Neurospora crassa OR74A: one gene and its partner. Each later gene encodes a partner of the first gene's protein in a complex. Links are inferred from orthologs where the notes say so. Each region holds a gene or a part of one and is shown in the gene's direction. Other genes may lie near its edges.

Region 1 (3,659 bases):
GGTCTATACTAAACTTATTACAAAATACAAATATTTCTATAATAAATAAAAAGACCTTTAATATCTATTCGACTACTAATATAGGGGATTATTATAATACCTTTATATAGAATCGCTTCTTCTTCCACTTCTCCTATCGAAGGTACCGCCGTATAATTTTAATTGAAATATATATATTATACTCGTTAGTTAAAAAGGCATAGATCTCATTAAAGTATAAATTAAATTTCAATATAAGGAGGTTTATAACTTCCTTTACAATATTAGTTACAATTAATAAAATATAAAGAATAATATAATATACGCTATACTTTAAATACCTATATAGAAAGCTTTTTAATATTCTAGGAAATTTATAATAGTAAAAATACTTTACTAATATCCAATAGAATATACTTATATTTCTATATACTCCTTATACTTACACTAATAATCTTAGCAATATTATTAGGATACTCGTTATTTACTAATATTATTATTATTAATACCTTTTAGCGGGTATTAGGGTAGCGTACTATATTGATAACGGTTTAAAAGATAATGTAAATATTAAAATAGACAATTGTACGACGTAGAGTATTAAAATATCGACTTTTTGCACTAGTTTTGGCCAGATTTCGATATTAAACGATTGAGTTGAGTCGTGTAAAGCGATGTCAAATGGCCAGATTTGTCAAATGCGGTGTGTGTGTGTGTGCACGCACACACACCTCTTGCCAAGACTGCACAGGCGATTGAGTGTGGGAATGACTGTTTGCCCAGCAAAAGTAGTGTACCCAGATACCCCACCACCCCGCCATGACATCTTGATGCATTGTTTTGGACGGCCGAAGCGATTTAGAGAAAACCCGACCTTACCGTCCCCCGTTATTGATATCGTTACGGCCCAAATTGAGCTCAACTTCGGTGATCACAAAGGCCATAAGCCTCCATGAAGCAGCGATTTTCCTCTCTCGACGTCAGGGTGGTGGCCCACGAGCTCTCGGAAGCTCTGGTGTCGCTGCGCCTGGCCAACATCTACGACCTCAACTCCAAGATCCTCCTCCTCAAGTTCGCCAAACCCGACACCAGGCAGCAGCTCCTGATCGAATCCGGTTTCCGCTGCCATTTGACTGACTTCGTGCGCACCGCTTCGCCGGCACCCAGCCAATTCGTCGCCAGGCTTCGCAAATACCTCAAGACCCGGCGTTGTACCTCTGTCTCGCAAATTGGCACCGATCGCATCATTGAGTTCCAGTTCAGCGATGGTGCTTTTCGACTTTACCTCGAATTCTTTGCTAGCGGCAACATTATCCTTACCGATGCCGACCTCAAGATCTTGGCTCTGCTCCGAAATGTTCCCGAGGGCGAAGGCCAGGAACCCCAGCGCATTGGTCTGACCTACACGCTCGAAAACAGACAGAACTTTGGAGGTGTTCCTGCCCTGACCAAGGAGCGTCTGAGGGATGCGCTGCAGAGCACAGTCCAAAAGGCAACCGCTGATCAGGCTGCCGGTAAGAAGATCAAGAAAAAGGGCGCCGACGAGCTACGAAGGGGCCTTGCGACCACCATCACAGAGCTACCGCCCATTCTCGTCGAGCACGTCTTCCGCCTCACCGGCTTCGACCCAGCCACCAAGCCTGCCGAAATCCTGGATGATGATTCCCTCCTAGACAAGCTATTCGACACCCTCCAGCAAGCACGAGAAATCCTTGACGAGGTCACCGATTCCTCCGTTTCCAATGGTTACATCATCGCCAAGCCTAGGTCCGGGTTTGAGGATACAGAGTTGGACGTCGATGCGCCACCAGCCGAAAAAGCAAAGACCCTCCTCTACGAGGACTTCCAGCCGTTCCTACCCAAGCAGTTCGAGGATGACAAGGCATATCGTATCTTGCCGTTCGTCGGCTACAACAAAACAGTTGATGAATTCTTCTCATCCCTCGAGGGACAAAGGCTAGAGTCCAAGCTCAGCGAGCGTGAGGCAGCTGCCAAGAGGAAGCTCGAAGCTGCTCGTATGGACCAAGCTAAGCGAATAGAAGGGCTGCAAGAGATGGAGATGCTAAACTACCGCAAGGCGGCGACTATTCAAGCCAATATCGAACGTGTCCAGGAAGCCATGGATGCCGTGAACGGCCTGCTACAGGAAGGCATGGATTGGGTTGACATCACGAAACTAATTGAAAAGGAGCAGAAGCAGGGTAACCCCGTCGCAGAAATTATCAAGTTGCCGATGAAGCTGAAGGAGAACACCATCACATTACTGCTAGGAGAAGGCGTGGAAGAAGAGGACGAGGCTGACCAAGACAAAGAGGATGATGAGTTCGATTACAGCGATTCTGAAGACGATGCCGACGGGGCAGACACCACCAAGGACAAGGCGCCAGTCAAACGCCTTGAGGTCGATATCAACCTGACACTGAGCGTTTGGAACAACGCCAGAGAATATTACGACCAGAAGCGAACAGCTGCTGACAAGGCGCAAAAGACGGTCCAGCAGTCGGTTATCGCCTTGAAAAATGCCGAGCAGAAGATCGCCGAAGATCTCAGAAAGGGTCTCAAGCAAGAAAAACCAGTCCTCCAACCCATCAGGAAGCAAATGTGGTTCGAGAAATTCACCTGGTTTATTTCCTCAGACGGTTATCTCGTTCTCGGAGGCCGTGATGCTCAACAGAACGAGATGCTGTACAAGCGGTATCTGAGGAAGGGTGACGTTTACGTTCACGCCGATGTTCACGGAGCTGCAAGCGTGATCATCAAGAATAACCCAAAGACACCTGATGCACCAATTCCGCCGTCGACGCTTGCTCAGGCTGGCAATTTGTCGGTATGCTGCTCTAGTGCTTGGGACTCCAAGGCTGGCATGGGGGCCTGGTGGGTCAATGCTGACCAGGTCTCGAAAAGCGCACCCGCTGGTGAATACCTCCCGGTAGGATCGTTCATGGTCCGAGGGAAGCGCAACCTCCTGCCTCCGGCGCTATTGACGCTTGGTTTCGGTCTACTCTTCAGGGTATCCGACGACAGCAAGTCCAAGCATACTCGCCATAGGGTCTATGATTTTGTAGAACGCAAGACAAAAGGTCGCGCTGACTCTCTGGATGCCCTGTCAGAACGTGCAGAGAGCCCGCACGAGCAGAAGCCAGTGGCCGGTGAAGAGTCTGAGAGTGATGACGATGACGAGGACGCCGCAGACCAGAAGGAAAGAGCCAATCCCCTGCACTCGCAGCGATCTGGACAAGTCGGTTCTGTGGAAAGCGATGCTGCCCAAGGCACAGAACCTCCGACGGAGGAGCTTGCAGACCTTGAAATCAACAAGGAGGAGTCCGTGAGCAGTCCCGATGAGAGCATCAAGTCGCCGGCGGAACTGGAACCTGCTGCAACACAAAATGAAGAGGAGGAGGACGACGACGACGACGATGAGGAAGAAGAGTCAAACCAGCCATCATCTGCAGCAAAGACCGGCACTCCCTCGTCATCAACCGCCCCTCAAAAGCAACAGTCTGCGAAGAAGGCACCCGCCAAGCGTGGCCAGCGCGGCAAGCAAAAGAAGATTGCGGCCAAGTACAAGGACCAAGACGAGGAGGACCGCGCCCTTATGGAAGAGCTGATGGGTGTCAAGGCTGCCCGTCAGAAGGCCGAAGCCGAAGCCGCGGCTAAAGCCAAGGCAGAAGCCGAGGCTG
Region 2 (3,750 bases), on another chromosome or scaffold:
GATTGTTAGTCTGTTGCCTGAAAGGAAATGCCACACCCTCCGAGCTCCAGCCCCATTCTGGCTCAATGCGTGTTGTACAGTAGGTAGTAACGGTATATCGGATCCGGATCGTGGAGGCATTGGACTATGGGACCTTGAGGTCCCTTTGGACTCTGAATGGCCAGGTGGGCGGCGCGCCGCAGCGTCTTTGGGGTCACCATGTACAGCGGGGTAGCTAACACCCATGGTACTACACTACTGTAGTGTATGTATGTAGTACGTTACAAGGGTACCGAGCTCCCTGGCTTCTAGCCCCGCCTTCTTCCAGCCGGGCGCCGAGCAGTCCGGGGAGAGACTCCGGGACGTACTGGGTATCGGCGTGCCGGGGCGGAGCCGTATGGCCGGCGCGCGCCTCGTATAAGCACGGGCGGGGACGTGTCCTACAACCCCTGAGGACCCGGTTCTCGGTCGGGTCGAGGGTCGTCGTTTGCTCTTGTCACTCGCTTGCTCCACCCAAAGTGGCATGCGGGTTCCTGCGACGTCCGGACAAACGGACTCTCTCGAATCTCGATAAGACGACAGTTGCAGCCTGCCAACTTTCCGCGTGTTGTCCTGTTCCATTTCGTTTTCTGTGATACCTACCTAGCAGCATCGTTGGCCTGTGGCCTCTGTACAGGCCATCCGGTGGTGCATGCGACAACCACTGACCGCCTTGTTGTCCGTACTGCGGGGGAGGGGCAAATAGGAAATCCCAGGGCAGCATGTCTCGCTTCCTTGGAGAGACCTGACAGCCTGGCCATCTGGACATCGGTGCTCGAGCGGTGCTGCAGCATCCGAACCTCGATTCACTGTAAATCTCGAACTGAAGAAATGGAACGAACCCCAAGTCAAACAAGATGAAGCTTTGATCTGTCAGCAGCTTTGTAGAACGCATTCGAAGGTTCCGGCCGCACCGTTGCTTTACCAGGTGTGTCGGGCGACCTGAAGATCCTCGGAGCGATGGCAGAAGGCGTGCCTGGAGCCCGGAACAGCCAGGGCATGGAAGCAGACAGAGTGGCAGAATGGAAGTGTACCTATGGGCGAAAAGCACGGACCTTTGTCGCCCCAGAAAAGGCTCCGCTCATACTTCGTCATCCAAATGGTCGCCTGGCGGGGCGGTTTGTCAGTCAGTGACACTGACAGTTGAATCAGATGCCCGCTGTTGCTGTTGCCGCTCCCCAGCTGCTGGCCACCAGCTGCTTGCCCCTGGTTGGCTGGCCTTGGAGGGAGCAAGCGGTCGGTGCCACTCGCCGGCGCAGCGGTGCTTGCTTGCTTGCTTGCTTTGGCTCGAACCGTCCTTTCCATGCCTGGCCGTGACAACCTGAACGTAAACGAAACCAACTCCAACACCAAAACGCAAAGGCACTTCGTCCCTCCGACTGGTCCTTTTTTTTGTTTCCATCCCAACACCATTCACCTTCACCTCGCCGTCCAACCTCCAAAGAATCCCTTTATCAGCGGGTCTTGAGGCTACGAATTCTGGTTTCTTTTTCTCCAAAACCACTTCTTCCCGCTACATCCTCTCCGTGGATTAGCATCACCGTCCGCGATACCCAAATACCACATTTATTCTACTGATTCCAACACAAACGTCAAGATGGCTCCCGAACCTAATCCCGACCACGTCGAGCAGAAGAAGAAGGTCAACTTGATGTACGTGAAGCAGCGACGCTGATCGCGGGAGCTCTCGAAGCTGTCGCGCCCCCTCATCGCGAATGACGCCAAGCTGACTTGAAGCCAAACAGGGACGCTTCTGGTGCCGAGCACAAGGCCGTATGTTCAACCTCGCTTGCCCGCCAAAGACATCTCGAGAACCACTCGTGCTGACCGATGGAACAGGAAGATGATACCGCCACTGCTATTCTCAAGAAGAAGAAGAAGCCCAACCAGTTGATGTAGGTTGACGTTGAAGATGCGGGGCACTGCAACCTGAGCTAACACATATGCAGGGTTACTGACGCCGTCAACGATGATAACTCGATTATCGCCCTCTCCAACAACACCATGGAGCAGCTCCAGCTCTTCCGTGGTGATACCGTTCTCGTCCGCGGAAAGAAGAGAAAGGACACCGTCTTGATTGTTCTTGCCGATGACGATCTTGACGATGGCAGCGCACGCCTCAACCGTGTCGTTCGCCACAACCTCCGTGTCAAGCACGGCGACATCATCACCATTCACCCTTGTCCCGATATCAAATATGTTAGTCTATAACCCGGTCACCTAGTCATAGAATGGGCACCTTGCTGACACAGCATCTCCTTGTAGGCCAAGCGTATTGCCGTCCTCCCGATCGCCGATACCGTTGAGGGCATCACCGGATCTCTCTTCGACGTCTTCCTTGCTCCCTACTTCCGCGAGGCCTACCGCCCTGTCAGGCAAGGCGATCTCTTTATTGTCCGCGGTGGTATGAGGCAAGTCGAGTTCAAGGTCGTCGAGGTGGACCCACCAGAGTACGGTATTGTCGCTCAGGATACCGTCATCCACTGCGAGGGCGAGCCCATCCAGCGTGACGAGGAGGAGAACAACCTCAACGAGGTTGGTTACGATGATATTGGTGGTTGCCGTAAGCAGATGGCTCAGATCCGCGAAATGGTTGAGCTGCCCCTCAGGCATCCTCAGCTTTTCAAGTCCATTGGTATCAAGCCGCCCCGTGGTGTCCTGCTTTATGGCCCTCCTGGTACCGGTAAGACTTTGATGGCTCGCGCTGTTGCCAACGAGACTGGTGCCTTTTTCTTCTTGATCAACGGCCCCGAGATCATGTCCAAGATGGCCGGTGAATCCGAGTCGAATTTGCGCAAGGCTTTCGAGGAGGCTGAGAAGAACTCGCCCGCTATCATCTTCATTGATGAGATCGACTCGATCGCCCCCAAGCGTGAGAAGACCAACGGCGAGGTTGAGCGCCGCGTCGTCTCCCAGCTCCTTACTCTCATGGATGGTATGAAGGCCCGTTCCAACGTTGTTGTTATGGCTGCCACCAACCGTCCCAACTCGATCGATCCCGCTCTCCGTCGTTTCGGCCGTTTCGATCGCGAGGTCGATATCGGCATCCCCGACCCTACCGGTCGTCTTGAGATTCTCCAGATCCACACCAAGAACATGAAGCTTGCCGATGACGTCGATCTCGAGCAGATTGCTGCTGAGACCCACGGTTACGTTGGTTCTGATATTGCTGCCCTCTGCTCCGAGGCTGCCATGCAGCAGATTCGTGAGAAGATGGATCTCATCGATCTGGACGAAGACACTATCGACGCCGAGGTCCTTGACTCTCTTGGTGTTACCCAAGAGAACTTCCGCTTTGCTCTCGGTGTCTCCAACCCCTCGGCTCTTCGCGAGGTTGCCGTTGTCGAGGTTCCCAACGTCCGCTGGGAGGATATCGGTGGTCTCGAGACTGTCAAGCAGGAGCTCAGGGAGAGTGTCCAGTACCCCGTCGACCATCCCGAAAAGTTCCTCAAGTTTGGCCTTTCGCCATCTCGCGGTGTTCTTTTCTACGGTCCTCCTGGTACCGGTAAGACAATGTTGGCCAAGGCTGTTGCCAACGAGTGCGCAGCCAACTTCATTTCCGTCAAGGGTCCCGAACTGCTTTCCATGTGGTTCGGTGAGTCTGAGAGCAACATCCGTGATATCTTCGACAAGGCTCGCGCTGCTGCTCCTTGCGTCGTCTTCCTCGACGAGTTGGATTCTATCGCCAAGGCCCGTGGTGGCTCTGTTGGTGATGCTGGTGGCGCTTCTGAC

The links. The genes of interacting proteins can lie anywhere in the genome.
Region 2: NCU09191 (region 1) and NCU00018 share a complex: the UniProt entries of both Schizosaccharomyces pombe proteins name them as parts of the ribosome quality control complex. The link is inferred for Neurospora crassa OR74A from reciprocal best matches to the Schizosaccharomyces pombe genes rqc2 and cdc48.

The regions. Positions count from the first base shown.
Region 1 is NC_026501.1:5,772,275-5,775,933, forward strand, and holds the start of NCU09191 (hypothetical protein), read left to right. Parts: upstream 1-826; 5' UTR 827-931; coding exon 932-3,659. UniProt on the Schizosaccharomyces pombe protein: Key component of the ribosome quality control complex (RQC), a ribosome-associated complex that mediates the extraction of incompletely synthesized nascent chains from stalled ribosomes as well as their ubiquitin-mediated proteasomal degradation.
Region 2 is NC_026503.1:2,304,920-2,308,669, forward strand, and holds the start of NCU00018 (cell division control protein Cdc48), read left to right. Parts: upstream 1-1,185; 5' UTR 1,186-1,615; coding exon 1,616-1,671; intron 1,672-1,763; coding exon 1,764-1,791; intron 1,792-1,857; coding exon 1,858-1,913; intron 1,914-1,967; coding exon 1,968-2,217; intron 2,218-2,283; coding exon 2,284-3,750. UniProt on the Schizosaccharomyces pombe protein: ATP-dependent chaperone which probably uses the energy provided by ATP hydrolysis to generate mechanical force to unfold substrate proteins, disassemble protein complexes, and disaggregate protein aggregates.